Astyanax mexicanus: one gene and its partners. The main gene of each other region encodes a partner of the protein of the gene in region 4 in a complex. Links are inferred from orthologs where the notes say so. Each region holds a gene or a part of one and is shown on either strand. Other genes may lie near its edges. The genes, in order: e2f4, lin52, lin9 and mybl2b.

Region 1 (7,384 bases), on a different chromosome or scaffold from region 4:
TGAATTAGAGTTACAGTGCAGCAGCTGAAGCTCCGGTTGGATTTGCTGTTTTGAAATTTCATGACTTTTCCAGGTTTTCATGACTGTACGAACCCTGCGGTTACCTACCGTGTTTACGCTAGGAGTGGGCGATATGGATCAAAACCTATATCTCAATATTTTTTTTCTGAATTGCGATATACGATATATATTTTGATATGTTTTCATCCCATAAGGTAATATCAAAAAGATATTTAATATATATATATATATATATATTTTGTTCGATATTATTTCCGATTTTAGGGTCACGATTCCATTCGATTCTCGATTTTCTTTTTTCTTTTTTTTACAGCAGAGAGGCCTATGCCAGTTTTAGATTAGTCTATGGTCAGTCATTGGTTTGATTCATCAAATTAACAATAGCTTATTTCAAAAGGTGGGCTTGATATAAGTGATGCAAAGTGATCTGTAATACACCACATTAGGCACTAAAGGTCAAATTTAAATAAATTAATTAAGATATATATGTAATGCAATCTATTGGCTTTTTTTTGGTAGCAGCAGTGTGCAATATTAAAACAGCAATGTGCAACAAAAAAATAAATAATAAACAAATACAGGAATGTACAAAATAATAGAACAATTAGAGCCTTAACAATCTGAACTCTATCCTATTATAAAAGTTAAACATGAAAAATAAGACTCGGTCTCTGAATGCGGTATTTTCGCAATATTTATTGTGAAATAACGCACTCAGCTCCCTCGCCCAGGAAGAAGGAGGGGGAGGTTTAAGTTGAGCAGCAGGAATATGGAAGCGGTGAGGGAATACAGCGATTTTAAAGGAATAAAATCAATGATATTAACATTAATGTATCTTAATATAACGGCAGCCCTGTGGAGTGTGGATTATTAGGAATGTTGTCTAATTTGTGTGGTTAGTTTATTACAATGGAGACACGGCCTTTTTAATACTTCTGTCGTCACAATTATTCCACAGGTCCTGATATATTTGGGAGAACCGGCTTGGTGGTAAAAGAATGCAGCACACTTCTCCCTTATTGGCAGAACTAACAACATCTCTGCTGTTCAGAAGCTAAGATGCACAACACAAAGCCAATGTTTATGCCGTTTTTATTGATTAATACCCTATATTTGATACTTACAATAAATCCAAATTTAAAAGTAATGTAATTAAATGTATTTTTTTACTTGTGGTATTTATTTCTTTATTGTGTTTTAAGTATTTGTATATGTACCTTGGAAAAAGTATGTTGTGAATTTTAAAATATTACTTATCTAAACAAGGAAACCAATTGGTCATTCATTATTAAGTGAAATGTCTTGTTTTCCCTTGTGTCTTATTAATTGCTCTTTAACCAAGCAAAAACGTTTTATCCGATTACTCGATTAATCACATAAATTTGTAGTAGAGTACTCTATTACAAAAATAATCGATAGCTGCAGCCCTATTATCACAGATCATTGGCACCTAGTCCTGATAGTATAGCGCATGTGTGTGTGCGGCACTCACTTAACAGGACAATACGATGTGTAAATTCAAAATAAAGGCCCTTTAAATTATAACAAAAATAATATTTTACTCTGAATTTAAACTTTTTAAAAGGAATCCATCTGCTAACTAAGATAAGTTCTACCCAGTCCTGATAGTACAGCACTTTGAGTCACACACTTAAAAATAGGACAATATGATGTGTAAATGTAAAATAAAGATCATTTAAAGTATAACAATTATTACATTCCAAAAAGCCTTCATATTAACAGGTGGATTGTCTTTAATAACAGTCTAAATATTAAGTCAAAATAGTTATAATTGAATGGGCCTTTATATTGTCTGTATATTGTCCCGTTATTAAGTGAGTGACATATACAAATGGTGTACTACAGGACTACGTGAAATTGATCTGCGATATCATATTCCTTATAATACAGGTCTAAACCTAGATTAAAATAACAATTGTTATAATTTGACGGGCCTTTATTTTGAAATGACATCATAATGTCCTGTTGTCCCAATGCCCCAACGCGGCGGCTACTTTGACCAAGTATGTGGAAGTGGAGGCTGGCTTGACCGCAGTACAGGATCAGTAACCCCCAGTTCCACCACATAACAATAATAATAATAATAATAATAATAATAATAATAATAATAATAATAATAATAATAATAATAATAATAATCTCACTATGGCTAATTAACTAGATAACTAATAAAGGCAACATACGGCAACTCATGACACATAGTCAGCTCTGCAATGCTGAGGCGCGCAACTAACTGGCTGTTTTCATTCTCTCCAAGTGCCGTCAAACAGGCCGAGACTAACTTTCGAACAACTTTATTAAAAGATTCACAACTGAAACAAAAACTCCACGATTCTGAGCAGGGAAGAGGAGTAAGACAAGCTGTAAAAGCATTACAAAAGTTTCCACGGTAAATGCACACGATGAGCTAGCTAGCTAACGCTAACCAACAACGTGCTAACTGGGGTCCGATCTCAAGCACCCCCGTGTTCCCTTCTTAACTAGTGTACTAACAAGTAACGGAAGGTTTGGCAATCAATAATGAGGTCTATGAGGGAATGGTAAGCCCATTTTTTAAAGATACGATGCACTACTTTCCCCAGAGAAGCCGATATATTATGAGCTGTGCAGCGCCCTACACAAGGAGCACGGAACCATTTGAGACACGGACAATATGTCATGCTTACGGCTTTGAGGTCCAGCACTCCATCCTTCGCCTCCTGCAGCAGGGTAACAAACTTGGTGGTTAATAGTCCGAGGCTTTTCTCGTGGCGGCTCGGCGTCGCCGGCTGCAAAGGTTCCCCCATCGCTCCCAGTTCGTTCCGCCCTGAGTCAAATTCCATCCAAGTTCTGGTGCTGCTTAATGTCGGCGGTTTGTCTCTGTGAGTCTGTCATATATCTGTGAGTAAGTCGATTGCTTCTCTTCAGTCCAGCAGTGTGCGAAACATGGAGTGGAAATTCGAGTTTAACACGGGTCGGGTCCAGTCCAGTCCAGTCCAGGACACGGATCCGGATCCGGAGCTCCAAGTGATCGCGTAGCTACACACACACCGACTGCACTACTTGAATGACTGAAGCCGTTAAAACGCAGTGCATCATGGGAGATGAAAAGAAGACATTATTGCAGCGTGTGGAAGTTCCTTTAGGAGGCGACAAAACAGCGAGTTCACCGCATGGGCTTTTAACCTTCCTCTAGTGTTACTATTGCTTATGTTAACGGGTCGGTTTTGACCCATGTCTTAAATCAGCCCTAAGATACCCTAAAAACAATTATTTATGATCCAATTTGTTTATCACCTCTTAGTTACCTTGTTAGGGTTGATCATCCATGAAAGGTTTGATTTTAAAAAATTTTTTTGGGGCCCCCTGGGCCCTTCATTTGAGAGCATACCCCTGATTTTCAATATAAAAATATTGCCAAATGAACCTCAAGAGAATAATAAAACTTTAAAAAAGGTTGATATATTCCCTGACTATTACTGAAGGGTTTTAGAACACATTTCTTAAATGTAAAAAATAAATACATGTATATGTTTTATAATATTAACTCTAGTAACATCTATGGTGTTACAGGTCAATTTTAACCAATATATAAAATACTTTAAGAAAAAGGCAAAGAACAGAAATGTTTTTTATAGATAATAATAATAATAATAAAATGGAAATTTTCAAGGTCAAACAAACAACCAATCAAGCAAATCAAACCAACAGAAATCAAGTTCTAGTTTTTAGGTGCGTTAGTATTGTTAGAGGCATGTGTGGCAAAAAGTGAAACTTTTTGTGTGTTCTTTGCAGAAGTATTTTTTGCAGGTGAAGCACAATGTATTTGTCTTTCTGTCCTTATTGCTAGGGCAGACCTGAAATTTCTTTATTTTTGAATCAGATGGTCACTCTGGGGTTGTGGCTGTTGTGGCTGATGTTGAATGCATTGTGTGCAGACACATCAAGGATGTTGTAAAATACAAACATTGACCCTCTTCTCGTTATTGGCTAGCAAGTGTAGGTGGCAGTCAGCTTGTCCATGGTGTCCACTGCTCCTTTGTTTTTGTTATAGTCCAGGATGATTCTGGGCTTTTTGTCACGAAAGGAAGCAGGAACGGGAGCAGCTTTAGCACTGATGTCCTCCTCATCAGACTGATCACGTGTCTGTGTCTTCCAGTCGATAATCCACATCATCTTCCTCCTCAGAAACCTGCTCATCGTTAGCAACTGCCTAGCAACCACTTAGCAACACCTTAGCAACCACCTGGAAAACGTTAGCAACTGCCTAGCAACCACTTAGCAACCACTTTAGAAATGATAGCAACTGCCTAGCAACCAGTTAGCAACACCTTAGCAACCACCTGGAAAACGTTAGCAACTGCCTAGGAACCACTAAGCAACCACTTTAGAAATGATAGCAACTGCCTAGCAACCAGTTAGCAACACATTAGCAACCACATGGAAAACGTTAGCAACTGCCTAGCAACCACTTAGCAACCACTTCAGAAATGATAGCAACTGCCTAGTAACCACGTGGAATACATTAGCAACTGCCTAGCAACCACTTAGCAACCACTTCAGAAATGATAGCAACTGCCTAACAACCACTTAGCAACCACATGGAAAACTTTAGCAACTGCCTAGCAACCACTTAGCAACCACTTTAGAAATGATAGCAACTGCCTAGCAACCAGTTAGCAACCACTTAGCAACCACATAGAAAATGTTAGCAACTGCCCAGCAACCACTTAGCAACCACTTTAGAAATGATAGCAATTGCCTAGCAACCAGTTAGCAACACCTTAGCAACCACATGGAAAACGTTAGCAACTGCCTAGCAACCACTTAGCAACCACTTTAGAAATGATAGCAACTGCCTAGCAACCAGTTAGCAACCACTTAGCAACCACATAGAAAACGTTAGCAACTGCCCAGCAACCACTTAGCAACCACTTTAGAAATGATAGCAATTGCCTAGCAACCAGTTAGCAACACCTTAGCAACCACATGGAAAACGTTAGCAACTGCCTAGCAACCACTTAGCAATCATTTTAGAAATGATAGCAACTGCCTAGCAACCAGTTAGCAACACCTTAGCAACCACCTGGAAAATGTTAGCAACTGCCTAGCAACAGCTTAGCAACCACTTTAGAAATGACAGCAACTGCCTAGCAACCACTTAGTAACCACATGCAATACGTTAGCAACTGCCTAGCAACCACTTAGCAACCACTTTGGAAATGATAGCAACTGCCTAGCAACCAGTTAGTAACCACTTAGCAACCACATGGAAAACGTTAGCAACTGCCTAACAACCACTTAGCAACCACTTTAGAAATTATAGCAACTGCCTAGCAACCAGTTAGCAACACCTTAGCAATCACATGGAAATCGTTAGCAACTGCATAGCAACCACTTAGCAACCACTTTAGAAATGATAGCAACTGCCTAGCAACAAGTTAGCAACATCTTAGCAACCACCTGGAAAATGTTAGCAACTGCCTAGCAACACCTTAGCAACCACCTGGAAAACGTTAGCAACTGCCTAGCAACCAGTTAGCAACACCTTAGCAACCACCAGGAAAACGTTAGAAACTGCCTAGCAACAGCTTAGCAACCACTTTAGAAATGAAAGCAACTGCCTAGCAACCACTTAGCAACCACTTTAGAAATGATAGCAACTACCTAGCAACCACTTAGCAACACCTTAACAACCACTAGGAAAACGTTAGCAGCTGCCTAGCAACCACTTAGCAACCAACTGGAAAACGTTATCAACTGCATAGCAACCACTCTAGAAATGATAGCAACTGCCTAGCAACCACTTAGCAACCACTTTAAAAATGATAGTAACTACCTAGCAACCACTTAGCAACCACCTGGAAAACGTTAGCAACTGTTTAGAAACAGCTTGCAACCACTTTAGAAATGACAGCAACTGCCTAGCAACCACTTAGTAACCACGTGGAATATGTTAGCAACTGCCTAGCAACCACTTTAGAAATGATAGAAACTGCCTAGCAACCACTTATCAACCACTTAGCAACCACATGGAAAACGTTAGCAACTGCCTAGCAACCACTTTAGAAACACCTTAGCAACCGCATAGCAACACCTTAGCAACCACATAGCAACCACCTAGCAACACCTTAGCAACCACCCCAGATACCATAGCAACACCTTAGCAACCACCTAGCAACACCTTAGCAACCACCTAGCAACACCTTAGCAGCCACCCTGGATACCATAGCAACACCCTAGCAACCACCTAGCAACACCTTAGCAACCACCCCAGGTACCATAGCAACACCTTAGCAACCGCATAGCAACACCTTAGCAACCACCTAGCAACCACCTAGCAACACCTTAGCAACCACCCTGGATACCATAGCAACACCTTAGCAACCGCATAGCAACACCTTAGCAACCACCTAGCAACCACCTAGCAACACCCTAGCAACCACCTAGCAACAGCTTAGCAACCACCCCAGATACCATAGCAACACCTTAGCAACCACCTAGCAACAGCTTAGCAACCACCCCGGATACCATAGCAACACCTTAGCAACAACCTAGCAACACCCTAGCAACCACCTAGCAACCACCTGGTATATGTTAGCAATTGCCAAGCAACCAGTTAGCAACAGCTTAGCAACCACCTGGAAAACATTAGCAACCGCCTAGCAACACATTAGCAATCAAAAGTTTAACCAAAAGTTTTACGATTTCAGCATTTAAACAAGCATTTTTAGATTTCAGCGTTTAACCAAACGTTTTTAGATTTCAGCGTTTAATCAAACGTTTTTAGATTTCAGCGTTTAACCAAATGTTTTTAGATTTCAGCGTTTAACCAAACGTTTTTTAGATTTCAGCGTTTTTGGCATTTAGCGTTTAGCCAAAAGTTAACAGCATATCAATGACTCTTCATACTCTTCAGACGGAAAAAGCTTAGCAACTATTTTAACTTTTTAACGTTATTAGTGTTCTTTTCCAAGCCAACTTAAAGTTCGTTCAAGAACTTTACCTTTTCTAGTTCTACTTATTATTCTATTCGCGAAATTTAATCGACTACTCCTCCTACAGCTTTTGACGTAGAATGACAAAATTTTACAGTATCGTAGGACCTATACCCGATTAGGTTGCTTATGCTTTTTGAAGCGATATATCGTATGGTTTTCGTAAAAACTTCGTAAACGTGCGCCTTTTTTCCCATAGACAATGAACTAGGAGAATTTTGAATAGCCGTGTACGGCACAATTTTTGAGATACGAAGACCAAATTCGGAGGGCTTATAGATCTTGTCGAGATCTTTAAATTAATAAAATGATACGTTGTACGGTTTTCGTACAAATGTCGTACGAAGTTTCCCCATAGAAATGAA
Region 2 (7,906 bases), on a different chromosome or scaffold from region 4:
CTGTAGTCGAGTTACTAACATAATAATATACTAACATAAATCTATACACACAAAGAGCCCACCAACAAACTCAGAAATCAAACACTAGATTAATGAAGTGTGGAAGACATTTCACTTTCCATTTTTTTTGTTTTTTGTTTACTTAAAAAAACAAAATATTTTTTTTTGTAAGAATCACAGTTTTTTGTCTACTTAACTTTAGATTTATAACTGAATGAAGAATTTTTTATGCTGAATTAGAAGCAAAACACCCCTGTCCCTTACTAGTGTGGAATAATGCACCTTATAGTGTAAAAATAGATGGATATTCATTAAGCCCTTGATATAATTAAATAGCTCCCGTCCAGTTCAAGGATTTTTTGGACTTTAAATATGAAAAACTACATTTTAGATGTTTTAAAACTTCACAGTTTTAATTCCAATTCAGTTCCAACAATTATTTATGTTTTTTTAATCAGTTGCGCCATCTAGAGGCGAAAATCAGCACTGGCATTAATAAGTATAATATTTAAGGTTCTGCAAAGTGAGAGTGATGATTGTGTTCTGGTTTTTAGTTTAAATTAGATACTAATCTACTTACACTCCTCCAGGCCCAGCTGATACGCCAAGTTCTGTAGTCCTTTAACTTTTTCCATCAGGTTAGCTGTGGTCAGACTCCCCAGTTCTGAGACAGAACAAAAAAAGTTTGCAGTAAAACACAGTTATTAACACAATTATAAAGAGACAAAAATAAGGTGCAGTTTTTAGTCAAAGCAAAATATGAATAAACCTAATATTATGCATTGATGCTATTAAATCAAAATGTACCTTTCAGCATTTCAATGTCTTCTGATTCCAGTTCTGCCATCCACTTGGGTGGAGAGTTTGTGATTGGCTGAAGAAACAAAAAGACATCAGACAACTATATGGCGCACTGAATTTTAAGGCGCATTTTATGCAACACTAGTAAGGAACAGGGGTGTCACCATGCTTTCCTTCTAAATTAAAAGGTCTCACCCCTTTTTACACAGATTCCTCTCTTAAAAACTGTTTATTTGGGTAGATTTCCACTAAGGCTGAGTGCAGCAGCATTAGCATTAGCAGCTAGTGCTAGCCAGGGTTAGCAGCAGGCTACAGTTTGTTAATACTCACCTCTAAGTGGTGAAAGAGCTAGTGCCTAGTGCTGCAGTTAGCGGCTAATGCTAATGCTATTCCAGTCTCAGTGCTGGAGAACTAAACTGAATCTCCTGTATAACTCTGTACTTCAGTGGAGTGTCTTTACTGCTCCTTAATACCTGACTGATAGAATTCATACATAAGGAACCCCGGATTATAAGGAGCTCTGATGATTTTGAGAAAAATTAAAGCATTTTAAGCGCACCTAATAGTGTGGAAAAATACTAACAAGTAATGTAGAGCGACAATACTCACGTTTTTAAAGGTGGCTGCAAATTCTGAAACCCCTGGCACTGTTTTCAAACAAACATTAAAGAAGTAAATATGACAATACTTTCTACAGACCAGAAACATATTCAATCTCAGCATATCTTTAAAAAATATATAAATAAAAAAAAATGACAAAACATTTGTCATAATTCAGCAACTTACACTGCTCTGGCCAAAGGTCAGGTGATGCTCGGTCAAGCTTTTCATAGCTCAGCAAAGAGGACTCAAAGTCCTCACCTATAAAAAAAAAAGGTGGAGAAAATTTAACTGTGAAACAAGAGGTGCACCATATATTCAGTAACTCAAATTATTACTAAATGCTGTGAAATGAATCAAAACCTGTAAAAAAAAAAAAAAAACATGTTGGTTTTCTACATTCATCCATATATTTCATTTTGTTGGTTCTGGCAACTTATTTTGTGTTATTGTAAATATCATAGTGAGATCATTTTCTCACTTCAAATCACTGTCTGATATTTTTCCAATTATCATACAAACTTTAATATCCGAAAAACATAACCTGAGTAAACATTAATAAAAAGCACCGGCAAGAGTGATTTAACCAAGTTATTACATTTAGGGTGAAATACTTTTTCACACAGGGCCTGATTAGTTTGGATAGTTTTTTTCCTATAAAATGCTCGTTTAAAAGAGCTTTTTATATTAACTCAGGTTATATTTGTCTGATATTAAAGTATATGGTTTAGACATGTTGACGCTTTTATATAATTTCTTTGATCCAGTAAGCTATAAATGACTGTAAATATAATCTACATTGATCTAGATAGCAAGAATCAGACTCAAGCGTGGAATGATTTCTGATCATCTGGACTAGAATCCAGAAACAAATAATTTATATTAATAAATTAACAATTAATATTAATTTATATAATTAATATGTTTTACTTTGTCTCTCCAAAGTCTGTCTCCAAAAGTGCCTAAACTCAACAGACTACATATTTACTGACTAAATATTAATACTCTTCACGTTTTAACAAGATCCAGACATTTAAATACCTTTTAAACATCATGGTCAGCTGTTTCTATAGTTTTTAGAGATGGAAGACATAATCGTTGACTAATCGACTAATCGAAAAAATAATAATCAGATTAGTCGACTACCAAAATAATCATTAGTTGCAGCCCTAGTACACATTATAAACATAACAAAAGAAAAATATGTATCCTGCGCCTGTTTCACTTCGTGTTTTTAAACACAGTAACGTGGAACAACAGTATTTAGTCGCTTATTTAGAAGAATAATTTACAGGTGAACCCGGTGTTTAGGGCTCCGTTAGAGCAGGGTAACGCTCGCTAACACACAGCCGGGCTGAGGGTCGCTGTCCCGGTGTAAAGGTGAAGGAGCGCTCGGTCGGTCTGTAGGTAAACAGTCCGTTAGCAGGACCTCCGCGCCGCGGAGCTCCGCTCACCGAGTACCGACCAGCACCTCACACACCCCGACCATCTCACACACACACCACCCCGCATTACAGCCCCGCAATAACCCCGCAAACTCATCCCCGCACAGGAATTAAATTTTACCTCCATTCGGAGACGCCATCTTCACAACCACACACGTGACCTCCTGTAGCCAATCGTTAGTGAGATGTGAAGCGACTGACGTGGGTCGTTCCGCCTCTTGTGACCTACAGACTTCCGGGAAATGTAGTCTCACATTTAAACACATATTTTAATCATTTAGATAAACAAAAATAAGTGTATAAATTTTTTTTCAGCTCATATATAATTTTGATTCGATTTGGAAATTGTTTTAAACAATTTTTGTTATTTAAATTTTCACTTACTTGTGTATTTTGATATTTAAGATCTTAAATTTTAGTTGCAGATTTTATTTTTGGATTTAGTTTTTTGTCCCTGATTTGGCTCCATAAGTGATCGGTATCTGTGTATAATGTGAACACAGAATCTGTTCCTGAATCGTCTCACATGCTGCACATTGATACCTGTATAAACGCCTTCTTCTTCACCAACAACAAAAACCCTCATATTAGAGAGACAAGAGACTCGTAGCTTTATAAAGGGTTATAGATGTAGAGTTTGCAGCTCATATGTGGAGCATCTTTTGCTGGAGTGGAGAGTAAACAGCTGCTCTGAAGTTCATGCTCAGGTCCAGGAAATGAAAAAAGGACAGGCGGTTTGCTTTTGCTTTGTGATTTGGAAAAATTGGATTTGGCATGTTCACACAGCCATACAACCATGATTTTTGTGACTTGCTAACTACAATATACCTTCCTAAAAGTCTGATGTGTTTCCACAATATAATCAGTACCAGCGAGAAATAGAACATGACAGAACATTCTTAAAAACACTTTAATTTTTTTTACACAGTAAAACCTCCCATTTCACATCAATCCAAAGATCACATCAATCCAACTAAAACAATACTGCTATTTGCTTCTTGCTTTCTAGAATCCATAACTAACACTTTAACACTTACAAGATTTATAATTTCAGTCAGAAAATGATAGTGAATTTTAACACTCTAATACTCCGTCTTACTCCATTTAATTCACTATTTAAACACTTCATTTAAAAGGCACTTTTTATTTTGATTGTTTACTTAAGTCAAAACAAAAAAATAATAATAAAAGTACCGCAAAATATGTAAATAATGATTATGTAGTGTTTCAGAACACTGATCACATTCTAATTTACCTTTATCTAATGTAATGTAATAAATGAAATGATGTGGACCACTAGTTATATTAACCAGGCCAATATGCAGTGTACTGAACAAAAAAAAAAAAACGAAAAAAGATTTAACACAATAAAACAAGCACAAAACACATAGTTTTGAGTAAAACTGGAGTTGAATACTTAAAGGGTGAAATGTAACACACTAAGTTTTAGCAGCTCAATAGTGAATAAACTAATAACTTCACAACAAACAAACAAACTAAACAAAACGATCCCCTGATATTTTTATTTCTTTTAAAATTCCCAGGAGTCCAGCCACCGGAGTCCGGCCATGGAGGAGGAGGGATCATGAGCTAACGGCCCCCTCATGCCATAGGAGAGAGGGTGGAACAGATAGAAGCTGCAAATAGAGGGAAAAAAAAACAAAGATTAATGGAAAAAAAAAGAACAGAAAAAAATAGACTAAATAATATACGAGTAACAGCCATTATAAAACTTTTTCGTATTTTTTGCACTTAAAATCCTTTAATTTTCCCAAAAATCATCAGAGCTGCTTATGTATGAATTCTAACAAAAAATACAGCATATTAACTTTTCAATTAAATGGCCCAGAATTATAAAATATATAACAATCTTTTATTAATGTAACTTAAAGATTTTTTAAGTTTAACACAAGTTAAAGGATTTATTTTGCCTTCACAGATATTTTGTAAGAACTGTGACGATCATAAAGCCTGCTGTCGCTCTCACCTGTAGAGGATGCCGACCAGGAGAACCGTCTGACCCCCTCTTAGAATATACTTTGAATACGGTGGTCTACATAGAAGGTCAACATTCTGTAGAAATGTGTCCAGTGTTATTCCTTTAAATAGAAGAAGAAAAAAAATCACAAATTTTGTTCACAAGTTTGTGTTTGGTATTAAAACATTTATGAATGGTACAGGGTTTTAAAATGCAGAACAACACAGAAGAATATTATCACATAAACCACTACTATTCTGTTTGGAGGAGTATGTCCTCAGTTTTCTGTACCTGTAAGCATACTGCTGAAGAGCACAGCAGGGAAGTAGTGGTGGTAGTAGAGAATACGGCCCATGCTGTAGAAGGGCAGGTAGTGAAGCAGCCAGGCCAGGAACAGCATCCCACCACCTTCTAAAATAACCCGGCAATGTGCTGCAAAAACACCAAACAAACAAACACAGTAAAAACCTTAAACTAAGCAAATTCACATATCACAACACTAAATACATTTTTTAAAACAGTTAACTATTTAAAACAAAAGTCAATTTAAATATTTATTTTTCTGCACTTTTAAAGATAAAAATGATTACATTTTATGCACAGAGCACAAAACCATTTACTTCCTAGCTGGATTCAGAATGAATAAAACGAGAGCAAATATGGCTTTGGAGGAATAGGTGTGTTTAAAAAACAAAAAGTAAGAACTCATTTAAAAATAGATGTATACCTGTTAAATAATATTTGGAATAATTGTGAAAAAGATTTAAGAATGTGTAGAACATTTCCAATTAAAAAAAGAATGTTTAAAGCACACATAAATATGAGGAATGAACTACTATTAATGATGAGAGGATCTAATATGTTGATTAACACTGAACCACTATGAAGAGTTAACCGCCTACCTTTTCTCTCTCCCTCTAATTTAGCTCCTCTCTGTAAGGCCAAAGAGCACACAGACACCATGACAACAAACAGCCCCAGACTGAACAGGTTCAGCCACCAGATCACCTGTAGTAGAGAGAGAGAGTCAGGTCAGGTTCAGGTCATCATGCAGATTTCTGCCGATTCACTTGCATTTAAATATCAGCCTTATTAAATGTGTTAAAGGTTTCACTCCACTAAAATCCTCTTGTTCTTGTTCTTTATGAAATACAGCAGGTCTCTCTGAGTTGTTTATAATGCTGCACATGATGAAACTCTTCCTCAACCTCTTCCTCATTGTCTGCAGCAGCTAGTAAAAGAAAATATTCCGAAAAATGAGTCGATCAGGAAAAGCACCGTGTCTACATCAACCTGTGAATTAGTATTCATGGCCCCGCCCACCTCGGCTCGGGACCGCCCACAGGCAGAGCTCAAGCCAGGCAGCAACGCCGTCTCGTCAGATAGGAGGAGCTAACAGCACTAGGAACAGCATGTAGTTCATTCCTGTGTTATTTGTGCGAATAACACATCAGTGTTTATATACTTTACCCAGTAATTCAGAGCTAAGAAACAAATGGTTAGAATTAGTCTATGGAGGAAAGACACCACCAGCCAAGTACAATTGAGATAAGTAGGTGTATATTTAGAATAGTTCTGTTTCCACTAGTTAAAAGTAAAAATATACCCCGGGTGGATTTTTACTTTCTGGACCTAAACTACCCACCTCTGTGTGTAAGTATCTATAGGTTTAAATAGGATCTCCGGTGGATTTGGTGTTTTACAGAGACTCTAAGACTAGGTCAGTGGCTGAACTGCACTTAGCAGGGCATTATTACACATGTTGTAAAGTAACATATGACATTGCAAAGACTGTTATTAGTGTAAAAAATCTCTTTATTTTAAAACATTTCTAACTTACAAGTATCTTGGTCATTAAAAACTGAAAAAATAAGGACATGGACAGAACTAGACTCACAGGGTTCCCCAGCAGATACACTCGGTACTCCGTCTCATTCACTCCAGAAAACCTTAAACCCTAAACACACAGTAACAAAGAATAAATTTTAGATTATTTCCACAATAAAAGTCAGTTGTTATATTCCTCTGAGGTGAACCTACCTGATAGTTGATGGGCCAGTGCCAAGGTTTAGAGTTCACCTCATTGTCCTTAGGTTTTAAGCCACTGTTACCCTGTTAGAAAAACAATAAAACTGCCTCAGCACACAAAACACTTTATTAAAACTTCATCAAATGTGACCGATAATTTTCTGGGCTCATCTTACCCTGATCATGACAATATGAGACTCCAGCAGAATCTCCAGGAAGGAAGGTTTGAGCACATGCAGACTGATGTTGGGCACTAGATAAAGAGAAAGAAAAGTATAATAAAGAATCAAAAAGAAATTGGATATGTTGGTTAAGTTGCAAGAACTTACAATTGGGGTTGATGTGATCCTCAATGTTCCACTGGGAATTGGGAGTTTCCTTTAAATATGGACTACAAGTGACCTCCACCTGCTCCCAGCCCCTTTAAAACATTACAAAGATAAAACATTTTTATTTTTTCAATGTTTGTGACCTTTCTGTCACAAACTCTTTAGTGTTTTCCTAAAATATCTGAACATAACTGCTATTCCTAATCCCAGACAGATGCTTCACAAAAGAATTTTTCAGTTTAGCAGATAAGTAAATCCAAATGTCAAATCTGTAAAGAGATGTTCCTACTGGACAGACCTTAAATTTGCACCATTATGTAGCAACTGTAGTTTAAAACAACTGTTTAGTGGTCAGATCTGCTGAATTAAAAGGAAAACATGGCGACATCCCTGTTTCTTACTAGTGTTGTATAATGTGCCTTATAATCCGGTGCACCTTTTAGTGCAGAAAATACAGTAATTCTTCTTTAAGCTGTAGTAATTCTAACTAAATGTTGTAAATCTGATCTTTTCCTCCTCAGCACCATTTTTAATGCACTCACCACTTTGGGAGGGTTTTTCCTGAGGAAAACAGCACACAGCCAGTGGAGCGATGCAGGAAGCGGACTTTACTGCGCAGGACCTTCACCGGATCACCTTTCTTCCCCCCACACACCTCCACCTGCCACAGGTCATTGAGGTCCCCTGTACCGTTCTGAAAGAGATTAAACATGCCAAGTGACTAA
Region 3 (7,940 bases), on a different chromosome or scaffold from region 4:
AATAAAATATATTTAGGTTTGTGGTTGTAAGGTGACAAAATGTGAATACTTTTGTAAGCCACTTCAAGTACAAATATGGGTATTTAAATATATCCAGAACAAACAAAACAAGACAACAAAACTGAGACATGCATACCAAACCACAAATATGCACACATTAATCTATATAATTTATCAACCACATAAATATAACCAAAGACTATGTTCATGTTAAATCTCAAATCAATTTGTTTTTCTTTAAACTCAGATCAGATTTGGCCAACTTGACGATTAATATCTATATATGTAAGTGGAACATGCCTGTAATGTAAACAATCTTTCCCTGAATCAGCATGCATGCACGCACATCAGCTCCACATACAAGAAACAGGACTCATTATGGTACGTCTGCCTGGTCATCTAAGTGTACCTTAAATAATCAGGCAAATAAAACTTAGTCTATTTCTATTTAAACAAGCAACCGGACAAGCCACTTACCGTTTCCATAGACGTGTAGCTGCTCCTTCCCCTGGTGTTCTGAGATTTTGGTAGGTTGTTTTTCTCATTTAAAGTGTTTGACAAACTTCCTTCTACAAAGACATATAACCGCAAAGAGGAATGTGCAGTTAACTGAATAACAGTAATCACATATTTAATATAATTACTTTATTTGCATTTGCATATGTATGCAGCTGCTTAGAAATATTAAACCTTTAAGTGCAATTACCTTTAAGACTGACAAGAGCTTTCGCTGAAGAGCCTGTAAATAAAATAGGGGGAAAAAAAAGAAATTCTCTAAACAGGAAAAATAAACAGTGATCTGTAGAACAAGATTTTAAAATCTGATACATGTTTACAGCTAAACATATAAACACTAGAACGGGCAATTAAATTTAGCACCTGATATTAAGGTGCTATATCATTTTTGAATCATGTTTGGAACTCAAGGTTTTGGCAAACTGACTAGATAAATTAGCACCTAATACCTGATGAACTTCAGGGGATGGGTTTACTGTTTTAAATCCCTTAGACGCAAAAATATTTCTGGAATAAAATGTTACCATTAATTGGGAAGAAATAAAATAAAATGCCATAATTTCTGCATAGCACATTTCATAATTATGATAAACTGGAGTTATGCATTAAACAAAACAAACAAAAAAAAGACAATTAGAACTTGGAAACCTTCATTTTTGCATATAGCTTTACCTACTATGTTCAGCAAAGATATTAAATATATGTTCGCAGCATGTTAAATTATTAGATTCTGTTTTTGTCTTCTTTTTTTTAAGTGATCTATAATTACAATTACAATATTATTGGGCATCTCAGTTTTTACTTTTTACTTGTCGGTTTTACTTGTCATTTGAAGTAAATCCTCTTACTCTGAGACATAAATATAATCTAATAGGATTACATAGTAAAAATGTAAATATTGGCTAGCATTATTATTATTAGCACTATTGTTATTAATTTCTTATTACTACTACTACCCTCTTAACAGGTCTAATAAGCTAGCTGGTCAGACCTGTAGGCTGGGTGTTGTAGCTACAGCGCTGCTGTAAAGTAAATGGACCCTTTATGAGGAGGACAGGCGGCTGTGTGTGTTTGTAAGGTGTGCCAGCTGCTCCTCTAACAACCTGTAGTAAGAAATAAACCTATACTGTGACTAATAACGGCTCGCACAGTTTGATTTCGAGCTGATTTTAGCACAGCCAAGACTTCCAGCACACAGTAACGTTAGCTAACATTATAAAAACAGAGAGACACAGAGTAGCTACACTGATACTCCAGAGCTAACAGCCCAGAAAACAACCGGGGGTGTTCCGTCGAGATGCGCTACTCATCGAAACATGCTTCTTAAATACACTACGCATGCGCTGACCTAATGGAAATTAATAATACATAATAATACTTGTTATTTAAATATATGTATATTTCTCCTGTTTTTTTTTATTATAAATCTGTTTTTTTCTGTGCATTTAACAACCTGGACTCACCTTCATTGTACAAAAGTGTAAATGGAAATTAATAATACATATAATAGATCTTATTAGAAAATAAAAATTCGTGTTTCATTATAAATCTGTTTGGAGTTTTTGTGCATTAAACAACCTGGACTAACTTTCATTGCACAATAGTGTAAATGGAAATGAATAATACATACAATAATTATTATTAAAGAAAATACATATACAAAAGCAGATTTTAAAAGACCTCTCATTGCCATAATGTTACCATGATACAGTAATTTATGCTATCCAAATATACTAACTAGCTACAGCTACTGAAAAAAATGCTCTAATATGGTGCTTCTTTTGTATTGTTGGAGTTAAATAGAGTAGCACGATTTGACAAGGTAGCACAATTTGCCATAACACCGGCCACAGCTAACGTAACTAACAAACTAAAGCGTAACCTACAGACGAGACCCTACAGCAGTGTAGGTGAAAAACAGCGCTTTATAAAGAGCTTTAGTGAGAGAACAAGGAATCTAAGAGCAGTTAGGAGCACCATTATCTCTGTTTATCTGTATTCAGCTGAGAGTGACCCCCTGATAAAGAGCTTTAGCTACACAGCCGAGCAGCAGCAGCTGTCACCGACCTGCGGAGATCAGAGAGACACACAGAGCCCCTCAGACACCGGGATCAACTCACACAGCCCCCCGGCTCTCAAACACACAAACACCCAGCCCCGCTCCCAGCTCCTCCCAGCCCCGAGCAGCCGCTCCGCTCACCGGGAGAGTCCTAATCACTCTGTTTACCGGCGGGTCGGAGAGAAAGTACAGCTGAACTGCTTTATTTATAGCTCTGAGCCGGGGCTAGCCCGGCTAGCAGCTAGCACCTAGCAGTTAGCATCGCTGCTAACTAGCACTGAGGTGAAGTTACTACAGCTCAGAGACCCGGCGCCTTCACAGCCCGACACAGACCTCAACAAGCCCCCAACCGCTTATAATCACAAACCGCCCGCAAGATAGTCTGAAACGCGGTCTGTAGACCACAGCAGAGCCCGGGTTTACTACTCACTCTCGTCCAGCAGCTGCTCCAGCTCCGCCATCTTGAAGGAGCCGCGCCGCTTTTCAAAGCCCGAATGACGCGAAGCATTCTGGGACAGAGACTCAGGAGAGGGCCGTTCAAACCCCCTTACAGACTGTAATATTATTATAATATACAGCCTACAGTTCAAACCCCCTTACAGACTGTAATATTATTATAATATACAGCCTACAGTTCAAACCCCCTTACAGACTGTAATATTATTATAATATACAGCCTACAGTTCAAACCCCCTTACAGACTGTAATATTATTATAATATACAGCCTACAGTTCAAACCCCCTTACAGACTGTAATATTATTATAATATACAGCCTACAGTTCAAACCCCCTTACAGACTGTAATATTATTATAATATACAGCCTACAGTTCAAACCCCCTTACAGACTGTAATATTATTATAATATACAGCCTACAGTTCAAACCCCCTTACAGACTGTAATATTATTATAATATACAGCCTACAGTTCAAACCCCCTTACAGACTGTAATATTATTATAATATACAGCCTACAGTTCAAACCCCCTTACAGACTGTAATATTATTATATACAGCCTACAGTTCAAACCCCCTTACAGACTGTAATATTATTATAATATACAGCCTACAGTTCAAACCCCCTTACAGACTGTAATATTATTATAATATACAGCCTACAGTTCAAACCCCCTTACAGACTGTAATATTATTATAATATACAGCCTACAGTTCAAACCCCCTTACAGACTGTAATATTATTATATACAGCCTACAGTTCAAACCCCCTTACAGACTGTAATATTATTATATACAGCCTACAGTTCAAACCCCCTTACAGACTGTAATATTATTATAATATACAGCCTACAGTTCAAACCCCCTTACAGACTGTAATATTATTATAATATACAGCCTACAGTTCAAACCCCCTTACAGACTGTAATATTATTATTATATACAGCCTACAGTTCAAACCCCCTTACAGACTGTAATATTATTATATACAGCCTACAGTTCAAACCCCCTTACAGACTGTAATATTATTATAATATACAGCCTACAGTTCAAACCCCCTTACAGACTGTAATATTATTATAATATACAGCCTACAGTTCAAACCCCCTTACAGACTGTAATATTATTATAATATACAGCCTACAGCTCAAACCCCCTTACAGACTGTAATATTATTATAATATACAGCCTACAGTTCAAACCCCCTTACAGACTGTAATATTATTATAATATACAGCCTACAGTTCAAACCCCCTTACAGACTGTAATATTATTATATACAGCCTACAGTTCAAACCCCCTTACAGACTGTAATATTATTATAATATACAGCCTACAGTTCAAACCCCCTTACAGACTGTATTATTATAATATACAGCCTACAGTTCAAACCCCCTTACAGACTGTAATATTATTATAATATACAGCCTACAGTTCAAACCCCCTTACAGACTGTAATATTATTATAATATACAGCCTACAGTTCAAACCCCCTTACAGACTGTAATATTATTATAATATACAGCCTACAGTTCAAACCCCCTTACAGACTGTATTATTATTATTATATACAGCCTACAGTTCAAACCCCCTTACAGACTGTAATATTATTATATACAGCCTACAGTTCAAACCCCCTTACAGACTGTAATATTATTATAATATACAGCCTACAGTTCAAACCCCCTTACAGACTGTAATATTATTATTATATACAGCCTACAGTTCAAACCCCCTTACAGACTGTATTATTATTATTATATACAGCCTACAGTTCAAACCCCCTTACAGACTGTAATATTATTATATACAGCCTACAGTTCAAACCCCCTTACAGACTGTAATATTATTATATACAGCCTACAGTTCAACCCCCCTTACAGACTGTAATATTATTATATACAGCCTACAGTTCAAACCCCCTTACAGACTGTAATATTATTATATACAGCCTACAGTTCAAACCCCCTTACAGACTGTAATATTATTATAATATACAGCCTACAGTTCAAACCCCCTTACAGACTGTAATATTATTATAATATACAGCCTACAGTTCAAACCCCCTTACAGACTGTAATATTATTATTATATACAGCCTACAGTTCAAACCCCCTTACAGACTGTATTATTATTATTATTATATACAGCCTACAGTTCAAACCCCCTTACAGACTGTAATATTATTATATACAGCCTACAGTTCAAACCCCCTTACAGACTGTAATATTATTATAATATACAGCCTACAGTTAAAACCCCCTTACAGACTGTAATATTATTATTATATACAGCCTACAGTTCAACCCCCCTTACAGACTGTAATATTATTATAATATACAGCCTACAGTTCAAACCCCCTTACAGACTGTAATATTATTATAATATACAGCCTACAGTTCAAACCCCCTTACAGACTGTAATATTATTATTATATACAGCCTACAGTTCAAACCCCCTTACAGACTGTAATATTATTATAATATACAGCCTACAGTTCAAACCCCCTTACAGACTGTATTATTATTATTATATACAGCCTACAGTTCAAACCCCCTTACAGACTGTAATATTATTATTATATACAGCCTACAGTTCAAACCCCCTTACAGACTGTAATATTATTATAATATACAGCCTACAGTTCAAACCCCCTTACAGACTGTAATATTATTATAATATACAGCCTACAGTTCAAACCCCCTTACAGACTGTAATATTATTATAATATACAGCCTACAGTTCAAACCCCCTTACAGACTGTATTATTATTATTATATACAGCCTACAGTTCAAACCCCCTTACAGACTGTATTATTATTATTATATACAGCCTACAGTTCAACCCCCCTTACAGACTGTAATATTATTATAATATACAGCCTACAGTTCAAACCTCCTTACAGGCTGTAATATTATTATTATTATATACAGCCTACAGTTCAAACCCCCTTACAGACTGTAATATTATTATAATATACAGCCTACAGTTCAAACCCCCTTACAGACTGTAATATTATTATAATATACAGCCTACAGTTCAAACCCCCTTACAGACTGTAATATTATTATAATATACAGCCTACAGTTCAAACCCCCTTACAGACTGTAATATTATTATAATATACAGCCTACAGTTCAAACCCCCTTACAGACTGTAATATTATTATAATATACAGCCTACAGTTCAAACCCCCTTACAGACTGTAATATTATTATAATATACAGCCTACAGTTCAAACCCCCTTACAGACTGTAATATTATTATAATATACAGCCTACAGTTCAAACCCCCTTACAGACTGTATTATTATTATTATATACAGCCTACAGTTCAAACCCCCTTACAGACTGTATTATTATTATTATATACAGCCTACAGTTCAACCCCCCTTACAGACTGTAATATTATTATAATATACAGCCTACAGTTCAAACCCCCTTACAGACTGTAATATTATTATATACAGCCTACAGTTCAAACCCCCTTACAGACTGTAATATTATTATAATATACAGCCTACAGTTCAAACCCCCTTACAGACTGTATTATTATTATTATATACAGCCTACAGTTCAAACCCCCTTACAGACTGTATTATTATTATTATATACAGCCTACAGTTCAACCCCCCTTACAGACTGTAATATTATTATAATATACAGCCTACAGTTCAAACCTCCTTACAGGCTGTAATATTATTATTATTATATACAGCCTACAGTTCAAACCCCCTTACAGACTGTAATATTATTATAATATACAGCCTACAGTTCAAACCCCCTTACAGACTGTAATATTATTATAATATACAGCCTACAGTTCAACCCCCCTTACAGACTGTAATATTATTATAATATACAGCCTACAGTTCAAACCCCCTTACAGACTGTAATATTATTATAATATACAGCCTACAGCTCAACCCCCCTTACAGTATTATTATTATTATATACAGTCTACAGTTCAACCCCCCTTACAGACTGTAATATTATTATAATATACAGCCTACAGTTCAAACCCCCTTACAGACTGTAATATTATTATAATATACAGCCTACATTTCAACCCCCCTTACAGACTGTATTATTATTATAATATACAGCCTACAGTTCAAACCCCCTTACAGACTGTAATATTATTATAATATACAGCCTACAGTTCAACCCCCCTTACAGACTGTAATATTATTATAATATACAGCCTACAGTTCAACCCCCCTTACAGACTGTAATATTATTATAATATACAGCCTACAGTTCAAACCCCCTTACAGACTGTAATATTATTATAATATACAGCCTACAGCTCAACCCCCCTTACAGTATTATTATTATTATATACAGTCTACAGTTCAACCCCCCTTACAGACTGTAATATTATTATAATATACAGCCTACAGTTCAAACCCCCTTACAGACTGTAATATTATTATAATATACAGCCTACAGTTCAACCCCCCTTACAGACTGTATTATTATTATAATATACAGCCTACAGTTCAACCCCCCTTACAGACTGTATTATTATTATTATTATTATATACAGCCTACAGTTCAACCCCCCTTACAGACTGTAATATTATTATATACAGCCTACAGTTCAAACCCCCTTACAGACTGTAATATTATTATATACAGTCTACAGTTCAACCCAGTTCAATCAGAATACTACCTTAGCTTAATCTCCAACTCCACAAACCCCCAGAACTTCTGGAAAAATGTAAATTCCCTTAAAAAGAACTCCAATCCCTTTCGTACCAGGGCTTTAGTGGATGATCAGCTGATCTCAGATCAGAAGGAACTCTGTCAGGTTTTTAACTCTCACTTTGCTGCAGCTGGTCACATATTTGATAACACTAATACAAATCCATTATTAAATCAAACTGATCTCAACCCTATTGTTTTT
Region 4 (7,380 bases):
ATACACAACTTAAAAAGGACATACTGGAAGAAAACTGGCGATGTATTTCCAGTCTGCCGTTCCTAAACTCTGAACCAGCGTTCGCAGATTATCATCCTGGAAAACAAACAGAAAACACTCAGATATGTAGTACATGTATACTGAGAAAGAAAGCTAATATTACCATACTCTACTATGCTTGCTTAGCTTATACTCAGACAGCTCTTGTTTTACAGCAAGACAAACAGTACAAACAGTACTATATGTACAAAGCAGGCAGGCTTCCCTTCCAACATCTAATTTGAAAATTCGTATTTCATGTGTTGAATATACTGATCAGTGTGGCTGGTTGGATCATAAACAGACACATTAACTATATCGATAGGAGGTGGATCCTTATGTTTGTGTGAAACGTTGCTTATCAGGAAAAAACATAAATAAATTGTTAGATTTTTATTCACAGCAAATATGTTTTTAGATCATGTTTGTGTTAAATGTCTGTAATCGGATCATAAACAGCAACAGCAAATTAGTTATGTGTTGGCTCTTAATGTTTAGGTTAAATATTGTTTAATAGATTATAAACAGCCACACGAAACTTAGCTGTTAGGTATTGGATATTTACGTTTTTTTAAATGTTGCTGATCAGACCATGAACGTAAACAGCAAATTAATTGTTAGGTTGTGGGTTGTGTATCTTCAGATTTGGGTTAAATACTGAAGACCAGATCATAAACTGCCACAGAATCTTAGTTGTAGGATCAATTTGTTTTGCTTTTATTTTACTGATTGGATGATAAACGTGTAGAGTAGCTACGTTGTTAGGTGTTGGATATTTATGTCTGTGTTAAATGTTGCTAATCTAATCGCGCACAGAAACAGCTACAGTAACTTAGTTATCTGTTGGAACTTAATATCTGTATTAATTGATCAGCTCATAACCAGAAACAACAAATTAACTGTTCGGGTCGTAAACGGCCGCAGTAGCTACGCTGTTAGGCATCGGACCTTGTTGTTGTTGTGTTAAATATCGGTGATCAGACCATAAACAGCCACAGCAACTCAGTTATGGTTGAAATCTTAACACTTGGTCAAACATTATTGATTGGATCATAAACATGGGTTAGATACACATTAGATTTGAAATCTTCATGTGTGTATTAAATATTGTTAATCGGATGATAACGTTTGTTGTATATGTTGCCGATCGGGTCATAAACAGCCAGAGCAACTTAGTTGTGTGTTGGAACTTAAAGTTTGTCTTTAACATTGCTGGTTACAGCAAATTAGCTGTTATGTGGTGGATCTTAACAATTGTGTTAAATGTTGCTACAGTAACTAAGTTTTGTGGCCGTTGGATCTCCCATTAATGCTCTCGACTTTTAGCCATACAGGCTAATTTACCTCTTCCTGCGCCCACTTCACTTTAACTTTCCCGCAGTCCTTCTGGTCTGCTACATCAGAATCAGTGTCCTGACAATCTGGATCCTCTCTGCAAACATTTAAACAAACAGGAAATTCTTGTTAACAAGCTAACACGATGACCATGTGGTCATCAGCAGCAGTGTGCTGAGTTGTAGTGACATCATTAGAACTTGTAGTGTTTCTAGCTCATTCCTAGGAAAACCAGCTTGTCAGCTAGTACAAATGGCTGTGATTATGTAAACACTTGTCTAGCTAATTATAGAGTAGTAGAATTAACTAGCTAACAAGAAAGTGGGGGGTCTGCCCACGGAGCTTCATTATACAGGCAAAAACAAAGAGATATATTTCAAATGTGTCCTTCAACCACATTTAGGCCCAAGGAAATGTTTGTGTACATTTATCGAGTTTAAGATATTCAATTCCCTAAATGTTTTATAATGAAAAGAAATATTGTGGAGGTCTATTTTGGCCATCAATTACCTCATAAAAAAGTTTTTTTTGGTTATAGTTTCCTGTCTCTGGGCAACATTGCACAGTTACAGAACACATAAAGTGGATTGATATAAAAATGGCCTGATTTTTATTCTGAACAAATACAAATATAATGCAATAGATACAGAGGGTTAAAAGGTCATTGTTTTATCTACATTTCTTCCTACACACAAGACTAGCTAGGTTATATTTCGTGAAATGTGGTCTAAATTCAGGTACCAATGATGCTTTTAACTTTAAAAACAACATATTACTATGTAAAACTTTGTTTTATTTTGTAGGCAGTTAACTAGTTAGGAATCACAGTAACTTAACAACGTGAACAAAGTTATATAAATGCGTCTACAGTTACTTTGAACTTCATGCAAACAGATTGCAATAATTATAAACAGTCTACCTATAATAATGAGTTTTTTTTCTTGCTTACTTGCTTTAATGTAGGCAGTCCAAGTCCGAAAAATAGAACTCCGTTTCCAGGATTTCGTTCCAACAGCTTAGGCGGCTCCGCTGCAGCCGCGCTATACACAAAACTGCCCGGACAGTTAGAACGAAATCCTGGAAACGGAGTTCTACTTTCCGGACCTGGACTATCTACTTATATCTTGAATAAAATACAATAAAAAACAATGTAAAACAAATTTCATAAATATTAGAACAATTCTAAACTAGAGTAGATTGTTCAAAAGCCCAAATAAACGTATAATACAAATTCTTTTTTTTTAACAAATAAACAGTAAACTAGTTAGTTGTTATATTATTTAGGCGGGTCTCCAGTTCCCCTTGTTGTTTAGGTTGGCTAAACCTAAAGCTACAATTACAAACTCTGATTTCAACAATAGAGCCATGTCAAACTTTACCACCATCTAAAAGCTGTTTATTCATGATTTAAACATCATATTTTTAATTTTCCTCCAAAATACAGATCAGTAAATATGTGTTATCTGAGTTATTAACTTACCCGCGCGTCCTAGAAAAGGACATCTCCATCTCTAGGCGCGTTTATCCGAGATCCTCTGATCAAAACCCGCCAATTTCCTCTGATTCTGCGCTTCATGCAGTGAGATGCTTTAAATCCAGACTCTGTATTTAATTATTAAGGGCAGAAATGTTCTAAAACTTCTCGCTCGGACCCACAGCCTCTGGAGCACACAGGAGTCGCTCTGCTGCTACTGCTGCTGCTGCAGATCCGCAAACTAAAACTCCGCGCTTTTTTCGTATGGCTTTCCCGGGAGCGACGTCACGCGCATGCGCACCACCAAGACCCAGACAAGAGCACAAATGTAGGCAAATTATTAATAAATTAACCAGTATATTAATATGTAAAATATACATAAATATATCAGAAAATAGGTAATTGTTCCATTAAAATAACATTTTTTGCACAAAATTAATTACATGACGTATAGTTTTGTTTTTATTTTTAAATTTATTTTTTGTTTTTAAATTGCTCGTTTTGCATTTTTTTATTTTATCTTTTTATTAATATTTTGCATAAAGTAACTGCAGCAATGTTTGCGATCTTGTTTATTTTTTTGCCTGTTATGTTAATTTTTAAATAATGTAAAAAAGATAAATAACTAGCCAAAAATAAAAGAAAAATAGAAAAAAAATTGTAGCTGTGTGTGCGCTTTTGCATAGTTCTAGTAAGACTTTATTTAATGTTTTTAACGTTCAGTAAAAATCCAGTAAAAAAAAGCTATTTACAATTGTTTTATTAAAATAAAAATGATTACCTTGAAGTAAATTACGTGTTGTGTTTATATTTGCACAGGTTTAGTACAACTGTAATTTTTTTCTATTTAGTTTTTTAGTAAACCTTTTAGGTTTTTTTACTAATTCATTTGACTTTTTTATTAATAAAAATGATGGTATGTGTGTGCGATTTTGAATAATGCTTGTAAGATTTTTTTTAACCTTTTGTCTGTGTATGTGCATATTATTTTTTTTATTTATTAATTCCTTTTTTATTATCTGATGTTGCACGATTTTATTGAAGAAGTGTCAGAAAATATTTTTTCATAGGGGTTGGTAAATTTTTATTACTATTTACATTTTTTGCATTTTTTAATAAGACTTGTATCTGTGTGAAATGTTGCATACTGTATTTTACATTTGAAAATGAGCTATTTTTATTCAATATTGCTATTACATATATTCCATTTAACATTTTTGTTCATTTCTATTGTATTAACATTTTTTTTACTTTGAATAATACTTCAGTTATGTTATTTAAAAAAAAAGTTTATTTTAAGTTTATTTTAAATTTCAATCGTATTTGTCTGAAAAGTAATTTATAGAAATATATCTAAAATGTTTGATTAAAGATTCCAATAAAACTGAGCAGAAAAACGATGCAAGCCTATAAATACAAGCTGAGAGTGAGTGAGGCCTAATCTGCACAGGGATGGAGGAAGAGAGGGGTAGGCCTGGCAATATGGCTGTTCTGTTTAGATCAGTGCATGTGTTTACTGTGGCTGTTTCTCGGTTAGATTCATGATTGGAGTCTATTAAGCTCTTGTAACTCAAGAGTAGCACAATAAACAGTAATCTGGCTATATTAACTGGCTAGTATCCTTTCTGTTGGAGCAAGGATCTGGTAATCATTTTTAAAACATTAATTAGTTGGGGGGAATGCATTTAGGTAAAAGTTACTAAAAATATTTTTTGTGTCTAATGTTAAATTGGTTCAAAATTTAATAACAAAAGCACTGTGAAATAGCTAGTCAGTTATATAACTTGGCTGGGACAGGAAAAATGTGGTTATTTAAAGAGGTTTTTTGAATTACAATGTTAAATACTACTATTTAGCTCTTTAATATTACAATTTTAACCTAAAGAAGCCCATGGTGATTATAGCTATGTGCCACAGATACCTAAAAAAATCTTTACAGCACTTTATCCATTATTTTAATTCGTTTCAGAGTGATATATAACCCACTGAGCATATTAAAAGCAGTATCACCGGACCGTGTTTGAATGCATGTTATTTCATCTGACTTATTTGTCTGACCGTGCTGGAGATAAAACTAAGATAGTTCCTTTTTAAAGGAGTGTTTTTGCTTTTACAGTTTGGTTCAAAATGTTTTAACAATTCAAGTGCTTTGTTTTCATGTTTTATGTCCCATATACATAGTTTGGATTTGATTTTTTTTACACAAAATGGTTGAAACATAAGTCAGCATTATAAAGTGACCATCCATAGGTTTTTAGAGATTATGTGCAATGGCACTGAGCATGCTAGTTAGAACTGGTTGGTTATTTATCTAAAACCAGTACATACAGTACCAGCAAACATTTAGACACACCTCTTTACATTTAATGTCTTCTTTATTTATTTATTTATTTTTTGTGTAAACAGTGTTAAACAAACCAGAATATGATACATTTATCTTTGAGGACAGATCTGCACACTCTTGGTATTTTAATCTCAGCATCTTCATGAGGGAGAGTCACCTGGAATAGTTTTCTCAGTTTCTTGAAGTAGTTCCTGTAGGTGCTGAACAATAGTTGCTGATTTACCTTCACGCTGTGAAACTTCAGCTCATCCAAAATCACCTCAAATCTCCATCTCAGTTGATCAGGTTTAGATCAGTTTGTTGTGGAGGACAACCATTTGTTTTACTATTTACAATGTTATTCCATATTTATCCCTTAGTTGTTTTCACATGTTTATTATTAAACTACAATGTGGAAATAAAGAGAAAAAAAAAAAAACACTGACAAGGTATCCAAACTTTTGAATGGTACTGTAGATATTTTAAAATGTTTATTATTGGGACACACTAGCACCCCAATGTGTGAACTGTCCTCTCTCTCTCTTTTTAGACGGTGTGAAGACCTTTGAGGGCCTGTCTTTGTCAGGGTTGGACAGGGGCTTTGTCACAGATGGCAGTCTTTCTGCTTTGTCCATTCAGATGGATCCCTTCAAGCCACCCAAGGAGATTGTTGTAGAATATTCAGAGGCCGCTCCTGCTCTACCAGCTTCTTTTGATCACTCCTCTAATGTTTTGTCACCTTTAAATGTCCCCAGCAAGAGCTCTCTACTGTCTCCAAGCACCACCTTGACTGCTGGCCTGAATAATCTGGTAGCAGGCAAGTCCTCCACGCCTTACGAAAGGGTTAAATTCCTAAAGCCCATCCTGGTCAACTCGCTGGACCTGTCCTGCATTGATCTGACCACCTCCCACCCTTTATGGGAAGTCTCTCAAATCAGGCCTTCTGTGGAAAGCCCAAAGTTGTGCCTGGACTCCAGCAAGTTTGAGTCAACATGGAGCCCCAGTTATCAATCAGTTCCTCAAACGCTGGCAGAGATTTCCTCGCTGATCTGTTCGGGGACTCCGCCAGGCAAATCTGCCACGGAGGAGTATCTGAGGTCTACCTTCCAGGATTCCAATCTGCGCCATGCTGTTTTGGAGCTTGCAGAGGAACAGCAGAAAGGTCTGGCCAAAAACTTGGCTATCTAATTGTGTACTGATGTTGTAATGTTTTCTTTTAGGGGCACTATTGGAAACTATTAGCTATTAGCTGCCTGCTTGAAACTGTATTTAATGGCTGTATTACAACTGTATGTAATGTGTATTTTTGTACCTTAAAATAAACTGTGGTATTAATGCATTTAATTAAATTGTTATTCAAAGAACAATAAAAGAGGGAGACTTTATTGGAATTATAAACATTAAAGCATAGGTGTATATATAATGTGCACATGCAGAGGTGTCAAGTAACTAAGTTATCTGAACTTTCTACTTCTACTTCTTGCCATTTTAAAAATAGCCCTGTTACTCTTATTTCATTTCAGCTTCAGCATTCTGACTTCTCTTTATTAAAAAAAACATATCCAGATAGAGTGAGTCTGATTGTGATTGGATGAGAAGTATAAACATACCATTCCAAAACCCTTTTGATTTATATGCAATCCATCACATCTGCACACGTGTCCTATAGGACCCTTTGTCCTTTATGGCATCTTTTGTCTGCTTACAATACATTAACCTTTATACTTTAAGTAGTTTTGAATCCAATACTGTTACACTTTTACTTGAGTAAAAAGAGTTAATACTTCAACTTATACAGAATTAATCCCTACTATATATACATCTATCTGATTAATGAATGTGAATACTTTTGTGCACATGAGTACACTTTTCTATTGCACTTTGGGTTCACTGAGAATACGTAGAGTATGTACTGGAGGATTCAATTGTTTCAGTCCTGTAAGTTACAGGAGGCATAAAGTGCATTCCTACACTGCCTGGCCAACAAAAAAAAGTCTCCACCTGGATTTAAGTATGTAAGTGATGCTACAGTTGGTCAGGTCTAGGTGCAGCAACAGTATGTGCTGATAACAGTATATAGCTCTTGCTTCTCAGTCGACTTGACTAGTGTCAAACTAACTCTAGTGCTGAACTTCAGTAACATGTCTTAAATGACTTAATTCACTTTGTGTGGAAAGGAAAATTGTCTACATTGCACATCTTTAAACAT

Evidence for each region.
Region 1: mybl2b (region 4) and e2f4 share a complex: the UniProt entries of both Homo sapiens proteins name them as parts of the DREAM complex. The link is inferred for Astyanax mexicanus from reciprocal best matches to the Homo sapiens genes MYBL2 and E2F4.
Region 2: the proteins of mybl2b (region 4) and lin52 are in contact, whole or in part, in a crystal structure (PDB 6C48), measured with the Homo sapiens proteins. The link is inferred for Astyanax mexicanus from reciprocal best matches to the Homo sapiens genes MYBL2 and LIN52. Residues at the interface, in NP_002457.1 of Homo sapiens: Trp663, Val666, Ala667, Gly669, Thr671, Asp673, Gln674, Phe676, Lys680, Ala681, Gln683, Leu684; in NP_001019845.2 of Homo sapiens: Gln84, Ala87, Tyr88, Gly91, Leu92, Glu94, Ser95, Met98, Thr99, Lys102, Phe103, Leu107, Glu108, Lys109.
Region 3: the proteins of mybl2b (region 4) and lin9 are in contact, whole or in part, in a crystal structure (PDB 6C48), measured with the Homo sapiens proteins. The link is inferred for Astyanax mexicanus from reciprocal best matches to the Homo sapiens genes MYBL2 and LIN9. Residues at the interface, in NP_002457.1 of Homo sapiens: Trp663, Ala667, Cys668, Gly669, Gln674, Met677, Gln678, Ala681, Arg682, Leu684, Leu685, Arg687; in NP_001353174.1 of Homo sapiens: Lys356, Gln385, Arg386, Tyr388, Ala389, Thr390, Val392, Leu393, Leu395, Glu396, Asn399, Leu402, Asn403, Leu406.

What each region holds. Positions count from the first base shown.
Region 1 is NC_064417.1:15,562,093-15,569,476, forward strand, and holds the start of e2f4 (transcription factor E2F4), read right to left. Parts: upstream 3,109-7,384; 5' UTR 2,865-3,108; coding exon 2,709-2,864; intron 1-2,708. UniProt on the Homo sapiens protein: Transcription activator that binds DNA cooperatively with DP proteins through the E2 recognition site, 5'-TTTC[CG]CGC-3' found in the promoter region of a number of genes whose products are involved in cell cycle regulation or in DNA replication.
Region 2 is NC_064421.1:48,536,577-48,544,482, reverse strand, and holds the start of lin52 (protein lin-52 homolog), read right to left. Parts: upstream 3,062-7,906; 5' UTR 2,987-3,061; coding exon 2,968-2,986; intron 1,663-2,967; coding exon 1,588-1,662; intron 1,449-1,587; coding exon 1,411-1,448; intron 875-1,410; coding exon 808-874; intron 665-807; coding exon 581-664; intron 1-580. Other genes in the region: pomt2 (protein O-mannosyl-transferase 2), read right to left, coding at 4,378-4,483, 4,834-4,945, 5,116-5,256, 5,727-5,832, 5,939-6,055, 6,722-6,781, 6,865-6,936, 7,029-7,105 and 2 more.
Region 3 is NC_064408.1:79,656,573-79,664,512, forward strand, and holds the start of lin9 (protein lin-9 homolog), read right to left. Parts: upstream 3,082-7,940; 5' UTR 3,037-3,081; coding exon 3,006-3,036; intron 740-3,005; coding exon 707-739; intron 570-706; coding exon 478-569; intron 1-477. UniProt on the Homo sapiens protein: Acts as a tumor suppressor. Inhibits DNA synthesis. Its ability to inhibit oncogenic transformation is mediated through its association with RB1. Plays a role in the expression of genes required for the G1/S transition.
Region 4 is NC_064431.1:7,420,374-7,427,753, reverse strand, and holds the start of mybl2b (v-myb avian myeloblastosis viral oncogene homolog-like 2b), read right to left. Parts: upstream 3,107-7,380; 5' UTR 2,884-3,106; coding exon 2,855-2,883; intron 1,472-2,854; coding exon 1,384-1,471; intron 97-1,383; coding exon 25-96; intron 1-24. Other genes in the region: uncharacterized protein si:ch73-303b9.1, read left to right, coding at 4,301-4,316, 5,722-6,359. UniProt on the Homo sapiens protein: Transcription factor involved in the regulation of cell survival, proliferation, and differentiation. Transactivates the expression of the CLU gene.